Cricetulus griseus: one gene and its partners. The protein of the gene in region 3 purifies or fractionates together with the protein of the main gene of each other region. This does not show direct contact. Links are inferred from orthologs where the notes say so. Each region holds a gene or a part of one and is shown on either strand. Other genes may lie near its edges.

Region 1 (3,652 bases), on a different chromosome or scaffold from region 3:
ACTATATAAGGAAAAATCAGTACCATTTCTAATCAAAACTGTGTTTCTTAAAAAATCTGTCACTGCAAATAAATAAGCAATTTGATTTATTGTGAAGAAGAGTTGTATGTACCTGATATATGTAAATTTATGTATGGGTTGGTCACAAATAATCCTCTTCCCTCAAACAATACCCTTCAGCTGAGCAATACAAATATTTTTATGGAAAAAATCTTTGATATTTTTGCGATTTAAAAAATTAGTTCTTTGAGAATTTTGTATAATATGTTTTGATCTTATTTACCCTTGTCCTCCAAGATCTGTTCCTCTCTCCCAATCCAGGAAATTTTGTGTACTCTTTGTTTTGATAAATCTGTCTTCTCAATTTGTGCTGTCCAAATATTCTTGGATGTGTGGCCTTCCTCAGAAGCATGATTGATTTACCAGGGGCTATTCTTTTAAAGAAAGTTGGCTTTTCTTCTCCTGGTAGCTATCAATTGCCAGCAGCTCCTTGCCAGAAGTGGGAATTTGTACACACCTCCTCTCTTCATGCTTGGATTTGATCTGGCTTAGGTTGCACAGGTCTTGTGCGTGTTGACATAACCACTGTGAGTTCATATGTGAAGCTGTCCTGCTGTGTCTGGAATACATTGTTTCCTTGTAATTTTCCACTGCTTTATACTCTTTTCACTTCTCTTCCTCAATGATCCTTGAGCCTTGGGAGGAAGGGATGTGATATGGATTCTTAGACACATTTTATAATTCATTTTCTTCCATTTCGCATGTAACATCATAGCACATCATTACATATTTGTAAACATTTTCAGAGGAGGGTCTATTGAGCATAAATATTCCTTATCCTATTATCTGATTTGACCCTCCTTATATAATAATATTGTAATTATTTGCACCATGAGAGCAGAAGATTGTCTTGGGTTATCCCCAAATGGGAAATAGGTAAAAACATCTTTGTTTCATGAAATGCATATTGCATTTTTTCTGTCTACAAAATTTGCCTTCTTGTTAAGGTGAATATTAAAGTAGTGCACAATTCTCAGAGCTCAAATCACCTGGCTGGAAGAAAGTTCTCCAGAGTGTACTGAAGATCAGCTGTGATTCAAAACGTGTTTCCATGGATAATTAAGTGATGGCAGTATGGGAAATGCTCAAATTTGAACAAGAACTGAATTCACTGACAGGATAGTAGCCATGATGCTTTTTTGTGTGTGTGATAAATGTCTTTCCAAAATGTGGTAAGTGGCTTATGTACTACTTTCAGGAAAAGCATTTTAGTTTGACATACCATAAGAAAAGGTCATGTCAGGAACATTCTAGCCTCTGTCCTTAGGTAAGTTTAAGACATGTTTTAGAGATGTGATATTAAATTGAACTTTGAATCTATTGGATTATGAAAGAAAATATTCAGAAAATTTCATTTTAAGTAGAACATTACTGAGGACATTAACTTAGTTCCTGGAGGCTAAAGTTATGATGAATTGTTGATTATCATTTATTAAGTATAGATTGTCAGCAATTCATTGTCAAAAGTGTACTGTTCTCTCCCTCTCTGCCAATTTCTGTGCTTTTGGGCTTTTCTGGGTAGTTGGTCACCAGGAGATTCTTAGCTAGTAAGTGAATTACTTATTAGCCTAAGCAAAGCATCATAAATTAGGTCAGTCATTTGCTAAAGAAATGCTGCATCTCAAGTTCAAATTACTTCTCTATGTCCAGTGGTAATTGTCTTCTCTGTCAGCATTGATAATCAAGTGTTAACTATCAGTCTCCATAGAAATGATGCCTTTGTTGAAAATACATGTATAAGCCACAAGAAACAGCCTAAATGAAGTGTGGTTTCAAATGATTCCCCTCTGGGGAAATATGCAGTCTCTCTTCTGGCAGGTGACCTCAGCTTCACTCGAAACTACTTGGTCTAGTCTTAATCTGAAAGGAATGCAGAGACAATTCTGCTGCTTCTGATTTATGTGTGACCTCAACCTGCTTATTAATTTACTTCAATGCAAGATGATTAGGTTACATGTTTATATCTGTGAAATGAGAATAATTGGAAGAATCAATATCTTCCAATTCACGAGGAAATAGTGAACGCAAGAGATGGGAAAGTGTTTTGAAAAATCAAAAAATGCCCTAAGGAAGAAGTAAGGAGGTATTTTGTAGCCATTTGCACGCCTTTGTAATTTGCAGCCTCTGTCTTGAAGCCAAAGAGTTATTTGGGTCTCTGCGAGAATGGCCATGTTATTTTTAGATGAAGCCTCAGCAGAAAATTAGGTCTTCTGATCATAAGAATAGGGATGGGTAGGAGACCATTTTCTGTCCGTTGACACTGGATAGATGAACACTAAATTACAGCTAAAGAGAACATCTACCATGTGTTTATATTGGAAAACTCCCTACTCACTCCAAAGTAGGCAATGACCAAGAGTAACTTTGGATAGTCAGTTATCTCGAGTTTAAAGTCCAGTTGACAGAAGTCTGTGTGCCAGCCTCATATTTTCTCCTTAAATGCTAAAAACCAAGCAGTTCCCATCTCAAAAATCTTCCAGATGGAATAGCTGAAAAACAACTTTCTAAAAAAAAAAAAACTAGAAAGAAGCAAAACTAGTCATTGTTCAATTGCTCGTAGCAATACTATTTTATTTTCTGTAAAATGACAGTTTTGAGCGGGTGCCTAAAGCACAGCTCATAAGCTTTGTGGGGAATGTTGATTTCAGGCAGTGTCCTTGTGAGAGCACAGATGTCAAGGAAAGAATACATTCTTAACAGCCACCTGCAAATTTGATCTCTTTAAAAATGAACAAATACATAAATAAAGATAAACTTGTATAGTCTTTCATTTACATGTCATAGAGGAAACCTTGTCATGGTGCAGGGCTGACTATGCAAACAATTTGGGCAAAGAACACAAAATTAACATGAAGGATGATTCAGTATGTATTATGACGTAAAATAGTATATGCATCGGCCAGCCATGCAGTTGTGTGTATCGTAACAGTCACTTTTTAAATTTCCTGTGTAATATTTGATATTATAAAATGAGGATGGGGGACATGTTGTTGGTTGTTGTTTTGATTTCTCAGGCTTTTTTGTTAATGACCTGTAGGATCTATACATTTTTTTTATGTTTAACTTCATCCCCTCTGTTGCTGAATTCATTGTGGGTAATGGCCTGTACATCCTTAGAGGTTCAGGATGTATGACGGGTAGCAGTCAGGAAGGGCAGGGCTGTGAGAAAGAGCTTGTACAAACTAGTACTACCCTTGGGAGAACTGCAATGACAGCTCATTAGCTCCTCTTGCAAGGAAATTCAGCCAAGCAAAGTAAGCTCTTCTGGATGTTGTTTTCATTTCTTCCTTATGTTTTCAAATATTTGAGCAAGTTACACAAATGTTACCTCTCTGAGCATCCCTCTCACATGTTATAGGTCTTTTTCTTTCTTTTTTTTTTTAGCATCATGAGGCAAATGAATACTTTTTTCATCTTTTATTTTCCAGACAGCACCTGGGGTACACAAAAGATTTTTCCGGAAAATAAAGAATCTGATTTCAGCATTTCAGAAGCCAGATCAAGGCATTGTAATACCTCTGCAGTATCCAGTGGAGAAGTCCTCAGCTAGGAGTACGCAAGGTACCACAGGTGTGGACACCTGCTTAGTTTT
Region 2 (3,652 bases), about 1.6 Mb from region 3:
CGAGAACATCTTTAAAACAGCCACACATTGGTACACATGCGCAATGGAATTAGAACAATGAACTTCCAGCATTCTCACACAAGAAAACATGGACAGACCCGAAGATCATTTTGTTGCGTGAAGTTTATTAGATTCAGAAGGACAAACCACATTTTTCTCATATGTAAGATCCAGATTTAAATTTATATGTATAAATACATATGTATGGAGGACATGAAAATTCAGAAACCCGGACTATGAGACAGGAGCAAGAGGTCTAAAGTGGAAGGAAGGCAATGAAATATAGGCAGAAGGCGGTCTCTTTGGGGATAGGAGTGTCACGGCAAGGTGCAAAGGATGGGGCAGTACAGGGGAAGGTCAAGAAAGAAGAGCATATTGGTCACAGAGATCGCATGCACCTGTAACCCCAGCACATAGGAGGCTGAGGCATAAAGTTAGAGTTTGAGGTTAACTTGGGCTAGACTCAGATTCTGTCTCAAAAAAAAAAAAAGAAACAAAAACAAAAAAAAAGACCCCCAAAGTGTAATGATTTATAGATATAAAAAGGTCAGAATAAAACCCATTTCTCTGTATGCTAATAAAAAATAATAATAAAATAAATATTATTATCACATTTATCAAAAGGCAGAGCTGACAAAGTGATTGCTGTATATACAGACTTGGGGAAAATCAGGAAAAACCGAGGCCAGAGGAATGCCTGGCAGGAAGTCAACCTTTGAAGAGATGGGGCTAGGTCAAACGAGAGGGAAAGGGAACATTGGTGGGTCACAGCCCTCATCAGGACCAAGACCTCCACAGCTGGAGGACATGTTTGCTTCTTCAGCATCCTTAGACCTTGATTCCTCTGCTCAGACGCCAGCTCCACCTGGGACAACCAGGCTCAACAGAGGGTCCAGGTTAGTGTGTGTGAACCACTCAACCACACCAGAGAGGGCGGTTTGCCAAAAGTCACAGAACACAGGTTGGGGACTCTGAAGTTACTACAGAGTATTGTTTCCTTTCTATGAAGCTGCCCTTCCCTTTGTCCTGTTAGATGTTGTCAGCCAGGATGCAATGGCAATGCCTGGATTCCGGCTGTCCAATTCCAAGATAGGAGAGTAACAGGTGACGGTGGCTTTGGAGCTTCTTGTGAGTGTGCCAGGAGTCAGACATGTGGGAAGGGACTTCTCCAAGGCTTCAGTTGAGAAGATCCTGCTACCCAGGTCAGGAGGGTCTCAGAGGCCCTCTAGAAGTTGGCATTTTAGATAGACACTTGCAGAGGTGGTGGCCGCTGAGAGCTCTGCCATCTCAGCCCTCCCTTAGCTTGTTTTGTCCTATGTCCTTGTCTTCAAGGCAAGATATCCACATAGTCCTCGTTAGTGTTCTCTGGGGAAAAGCAAAGGACAGCCATGAGATGCCACACCCAGAAGTCCCACCAGCCATCCCAACTCGAGGAAAAGGACACCAGGCACAAAGCAGTGCTGATGCCACATCAAAGAGACATCTTCAAAGGCTGCAGTGGCACTAGGGACTTGCTTGGACAAATAGGGTTTGTTTGTTTTTTGTTTGTTTTTGCTTTTTGATAAGTGGATCCTTAGTTTCTAGTACTCAGTGTCTACCTTCACCAGTGAAAATCCCATGCCTTCGTCAGAGTAGCTCTGCATGGAGCTGGTTCTGAGGAGGCAAGAGGAAGGGAAGGCATTTCCCCTTTGGTAGCTAAGTACGTGGAGCACACTCTACCAAGTCTGACTATGCTTGGAAAATTGGTGTGGCCAGACCCATGTCCAGTTCTTGGGAAAGACCTCTCCCAAGCCCATTCTCTTCCAGGGATTTAGTAGCCTTTCATTATACCTCAGACAAAAGTATTACCATCCCAGCCACTCCCAGCAACTCATCTTGATTTGCACAAGTGTCTGGCTTTGACACCTTTATGCTTTCTTCCCCTTAATACCTTTGGGTGTGTGTGTGTGCATGCATGTATATAGGTATGTATGCAGGTGTATCTACACAAGGGTGCCTGTGTGTGGTCAGAGGTTAGCCTGACATGTTGTTCTTCAGGCTCCATCTACTCTATTTTTTGAAACAAGGTCTTCCTCTGGCTTGGAGCTCACCAGGTGTGATGGTCAGGAAGCCCCATGGATCTACCTGTGTCTGTTTCTTCAGCACTGAGATTACAAGCATGTGCCACGTTGTACAGATTTTCAAAGCCATCATTTCTAGGGATCCAACTTAGGGCCTCACACAAGCAAGGCAAGCACTTTACCAACCGGGCTATTTCTCCAGCCCTTTCAGACTTCCTAATTCTGTAAGTTTTGATGGAAAAGAGCAGTGCGGCTATATCTGTGGCTGGACTTAAACGAAATTATCAGATTGTATTGTCCACACAATCCCCTGAATGATGATGAATGGCTGGAAGTAATGTTAGGGGGGCAAGGTTTTATTTTAGTCATTAAAATCTCACGCTTTATCTTTTTAGAGAAATGAGAAGCTTACCACGGCAGCCGAAAAAAGGGACTTTGCTCAGGCAGAATAGCATGGATGCTGGCAGGCTCCCTGAGAGCTCGTGCCCTCTCATCTTTCTCCCTAGTTAGTAGATCTGCTGTCATCACCATTGCCACCCACAGACAACTGCAATCCCTCTCACACAAAATGAAACCACACATTTCATCATGAGCGATTGGGTGGGACCAGAAACGTCTCTGCATGTCTGTGTTTAATTCAAAATTTGCCGCAATGGGCAGATGATGAAGATGAGGGTAAGCTCGAAATATGATCTGAGAGTGCTGTGAACAGACTTTCCTCACACGTGCTGACCCCCACCCCCACCCCACCCCGCCGTGTCTCGGTGGCTTCATACCTTTAGGGATATATATATATATGAAATAATTTGTCCCTGATCATTTTATAAATGAATGCTTAGCAAAGATTGAACAAAATGTAATAGGATAAGCCTTGGTGGGTGATTTGACATGAGTCTTTTCAGTGAAAACCTGCCCACATGTGCATTTATTACCATGGTGGACTGCGCATGCCCACAGAATGAAACCCAAGTCAGCTTTTTGGTCAGGACCTTTCCTTGCCTTCCTGGTTGTCCTAGCACAGACAACTCTATGTCTTGGCCACTTGCAGGGGCTAGGAGATATTGTTTCTCAGTACAGTAGAAATTGCACTTAGCAAGATGAAGCTCTTTAATGTCCTAGACCAAGTCAGCAATTTCCATCAACTCTACAGAGTAGAGCTGGACGCAGGCTTCGGGGTCCCTCCTGACCCTTTGTCAGGGCTCTTACCATAAACATTCATCTCTAACTTCATCCTTCTCCCTCTTGGGCAGAAGCCGCTTCTCATCATTGGGTTTGAAAGGTGAATCACCAGACCTTGACCTGGCTTTTCATACTTGGAGACTAATTCTTCTAGGTTCGGAAAGATCTGTTTTGGAGCACCTTCCACAGTCTGCAAAGACATAAGAAAGGTCACTGCGCAGCTGTGGTTAAAATGTGACACTTCTTGCAACAGTGGTTTTGAGGGCTGCCCGAGAGACAAGCGAAAAGTAAGACGCTAGCAGCTCAGGCCTAGGGCTCTTACCAACAGCATTTCATAGAGGTTCCTCATTCTGAAGAGGAACCTTGTGCCCAAACAACTCTGTATAAAGGGGGCTTTTACTTAAAAGTTCCCC
Region 3 (4,122 bases):
TGTGTTAAATATCAAAGTGAAACTACAGTGAATTATTCCTGGTGTTGATCATGACCAATGTACATTTTAAAGATTGCATGGCCCTTCCCTATGACTACGCAGTGATGCTGAGGCCATATTGGACCCCTACGGTGTGAGGACGTGTTGCTGTGATTGGTGTAATAAAGCTAGGCAGGAGGTATAGATGGGATTTCTGGAGAGAGAGAGGAAGAGGAGGGGGAACCTGGGCAGGCAAGACAGCCCTATAGGCCAGGGCGCTTCACCTCAGAGCACGTATCTGCTCTGTTCTCCAGCACACCTTCACCTTATGTAGGTCTTGTCTCTAACCCCTCCCACTCTAAAAGCATTGGGAGCTGGGAGAATGGAGCCTAAGAATGAGGCGGACTAAAGTCTCATGCAATAGTTAGTTAACTTTATTTAGAGCCTCAGATAATTTTTTTCTTTTCGTTTTGTTGGAGACAGGGTTTCTCTGTGTAGCTTCCGAACCTGTCCTGGAACTTGCTCTGTAGACCAGGCTGGTCTTGAACTCACAGAGACCTGCCTGCTTCTGCTGGGATTAAAGGCATGCACCACCACCACCTGGCCTCAGATCATTTTTATTCTGAGCCTTAAGCAAGATCATCATACAAGCAAAGTACACAAGTTCAAGCTATATATAATCACAAGGACAAACTGTGTCTGGATGGAGAACAACAGTAAATGCAATGGGGAATCTGAAGCAAATCCTCTCTCATTTGCTACACCTAGGAGGGGCACAAGAGTACATTCCAAGAACAATCCTGTGCTTTGGAGACTGAGATCATGGGACTCTTGTTCTGTTTTCTCACAAGCACTAATAATGCTCCTCACACAGCTTCATTCGTGGACTATGTTCCAACGCCTGACCACCAGTGTTAAAACAGCCCACTCGTGTTTTCTTTTTGTGTCAGATGACATTACTATGGTCTCAAATATGTATATTGATCTCTGTCAGTCCCCCTTCCCGAAACACTGCCTACTTTAATGCGGAGTCTTGTTTTCATCACTAATGTTTCTCCTATAACCAGTGGATGGTTTTTAAGTAGTTCTTGGGGTTGGGGGTGGGGTGGAGAATAAGCACAAATACCCTTTCTTGCTATGGGTATAATCACTGTCTCTATTTAGCAATAGAAATATGAAATAAAACAAACAACAGGAGAGGAAATCCAACAGAAAAACTAAAAACGAGGGTCAGAGAGAACTTTTCACCGGCCTTTGGGTCTTGGTCAAAGTTTAAACTGATTAATAAGAAGGGACAGTCAGCACATTGTAGCTTCCTTTACTGGGATATCTGCTTTGTTTTCAAAGAAAATCCACATAAATCTATAGAATGGGGACCTACAACATAACAACAGTGCCCTGAACTGCAGATCAAGAAACATAATCCATGCCAGGCTGTATTGCTTGTTACAACCAGTCCATTATGATCCACAGGAAGGAGAGAGACACTTATGGGTTTCAAAGGCTTTAATAAATCACCCCTTAAGTGGGGTCACTGATCAATCAGGGCTGCCGGACGAGGACTCGGGATCCTGGTTTCTCCTGACAGCACCAAGCAGGTGCACAAGCAGGGTTCATAGACACAAAAATCATAAACATTTGTTGCCAAGTTACAGATACAATTTTCACAATTAGAAGCCAAAGATTAGGGACTTTCCTTGTGTGTTCCATCAAGGTCAACTGACACAAAATGGGAGTTTCTCAGTCCAACCAATCAAATTCATTTGTTCTTTTTGTTGTTAGGAACAGCCATAATGTATTAGATAACTAAGGGACATAACAGACTATTTCTGTTACTTAAGGAGGAGGTCTGTCAGCCATTGGAAAGATCTCAGCTCCCCTAAGGCTTGGGAGCTTGAACTTCATTTTACCCTGCAGGTAAAATAGAGTCTGAAGTCAAAATGACAGTACTTCGGCCAAGGTGCTTTTGCCTGCTCCCTTCACGGCTGACTAGCTAGACATCTAAGAATGTACTGAACCAGCTAAGTTTCAGAATCCTGCCTGGGAAATGAAACTAAGCAGAGCTGTCATTTTGAGCTACTTTGAGGACTAGATTATATGACAGATCCCTCCATTTTGAGGAGAATTAAGAGACCCTCAGGAAGTCTTGTCTTGAGGAACATCCTTGGCCTGCCCCTTTCTAAGTCACTGTTGACCTGCTGTTTAAGAACATGACTTCCTGGATGTGACTGCTGGTATTATGGAATACTAGCCATCAGTCCTAGGAAAAGTTAGAACCCCTTCATGCCTCAGTTCCCTCAGTTTTACAGTGACATTAGTAATAACACTGACCTCTTAAAAGTGTCATGAGATGCTTTGCTGATGCCCATGGTAGGCCTGCCCTTTCTGAGAGACTATGGAGGAGGGGTGGAGTGAAGTGGAGGTGGGGGGCAAGTGGAGGAATGGGTGTGAGGAGAGGGGGGAAGCTGCAATGGGGATGTAAGATAAACAAATTAATGAATAAAAAAGTGTCACGAGAGCTAAAGAAGCTAATATCTGTGGGCTGGCATATCCTGACCACTGTATTGTTTCTTAAATACAAAATAAATAAGAGGCTGGAGGGATGAGTCAGTCTGTCAAGCAATTGCTTTGTAAGCACAAGGACTTAAATTTAGATCTTTAGCACACATCTGTAACTCGGGCACCATGTGGGGGGAGGGTGTTGGGGGAGAGATAGGCAGATCCCTGAAAGCTCATTGGCCAGCCAGTGTAGCTGAATCAGTGGACTCCAGGTTCAATTAGAGAACCTGTCTTAAAAAATAAGGTGTTCATGAAGGTTCCCACATATGTACCTGCATGTACATGGCACGTAATTCTCTCTCTCTCTCTCTCTCTCTCTCTCTCTCTCTCTCTCTCTCTCTCCCTCTCTCCCCCCCAAACAAACAACCTTTGTTGAAGGGATTAAAATAATACTTTATACTACTCTGAAGGAAAAAGAAAAGGTTGGGACATTGGAATGAGGAGGAAGGATATTTTGAGAGGAAGTAGGGACGGTTGAATTATTGCTTAACACTCACTGCTGCCCTTTGTTTCTTCATGGCTCTTTAAATAAGCATTGTTTGTTCTTGTTTCTTGGGGGGTGGGGCAGTAGCTAAACTATCCTTTTTTTATTCTCCATCCCAGAGTTAGCAGTGTGGCTAGAAACTCCCTCCATGTTTGAGACCTGGGAGGATGAACAGATATAGTTTGAGTATTCAACACTCAAATAAGAATCAGTTATATTAATCAAAATAACTCAAGAGATGTTGAGAGCTGTGGTGATATATTATTTATGACTTATTAACGCTTGCCTGAGGATTCAGAAGGCAAAGTCAGCCTCAAGCTATAGAGATCAGGCAGTGGTGGTACACAGTTTTAATCCCAGGACTCAGAAGACAAAGGCAGATGGATCTCTCTGAGTTCAAGGCCACCCAGGGCTACAAGAGATTGAATCAGTCTAAAAGAGTAACAGAGCTCACACCTTTAATCCCAGCACTAGAGAGGTATAAAAGATAGGACCAGGGTCTTCAGTAGTGAGTATCAGGATTCTCCAGCCATGCTGAGGAGAGCATAGCAGTCTGGGATTGCAGTCTGAGGTTTGCTGGAGACAGGATGGCCTCCCATTCTGATGTAGAGGTAAGAGCCACCTCTTAACAACAAAAAGAACAAAGCAGGGGTTGGCTGCTTTGCTTTTCTGATCTTCAGCTTGAAGCTTGAACCCCAATACCAGTCTCTGGGTCTTTTATTTATCATGCTACAGAGAGCAACGAGGAAGGAAAGGGCTGGGCAACAGAAATCCTATGTCACTCTCCATAATTATAGAAATTCTGAGTCACAATTTTGTTTGTTAGTTTAAAGGAAGCCTACAACCCTTTATAACAGTATACCATTTCCCAGATATTTTTACTTTATATAATCTTTTTTTTTTTTTAAGATTTAGGTTACTCTGAATCAATACTTTAAAAATTGAAATCAAACACAAAATCTCAAACAGAGGCAGGGACATGACCATCTGTTGCTTTACTAGTGTTTTTCCTATTAGCATACATTTAAACTTTGAATAAAACAAAATTCCTCACTTTTTGACTTCTGAGTGCCTATGTAGCAATGCTTTCATTTGAAAAT

The links.
Region 1: the proteins of Cd84 (region 3) and Sh2d1a purify together in Homo sapiens (affinity purification with western blotting; 4 studies listed by BioGRID and IntAct, with this or other methods). This does not show direct contact. The link is inferred for Cricetulus griseus from reciprocal best matches to the Homo sapiens genes CD84 and SH2D1A.
Region 2: the proteins of Cd84 (region 3) and Sh2d1b purify together in Homo sapiens (affinity purification with western blotting; 3 studies listed by BioGRID and IntAct, with this or other methods). This does not show direct contact. The link is inferred for Cricetulus griseus from reciprocal best matches to the Homo sapiens genes CD84 and SH2D1B.

What each region holds. Positions count from the first base shown.
Region 1 is NC_048604.1:25,494,432-25,498,083, reverse strand, and holds part of Sh2d1a (SH2 domain-containing protein 1A), read left to right. Parts: intron 1-3,488; coding exon 3,489-3,630; intron 3,631-3,652.
Region 2 is NC_048598.1:22,545,422-22,549,073, forward strand, and holds the end of Sh2d1b (SH2 domain-containing protein 1B), read right to left. Parts: intron 3,430-3,652; coding exon 3,267-3,429; intron 1,366-3,266; coding exon 1,328-1,365; 3' UTR 106-1,327; downstream 1-105. UniProt on the Homo sapiens protein: Cytoplasmic adapter regulating receptors of the signaling lymphocytic activation molecule (SLAM) family such as CD84, SLAMF1, LY9 and CD244. In SLAM signaling seems to cooperate with SH2D1A/SAP.
Region 3 is NC_048598.1:20,956,804-20,960,925, forward strand, and holds the start of Cd84 (SLAM family member 5), read right to left. Parts: upstream 2,823-4,122; coding exon 2,811-2,822; intron 1-2,810. UniProt on the Homo sapiens protein: Self-ligand receptor of the signaling lymphocytic activation molecule (SLAM) family.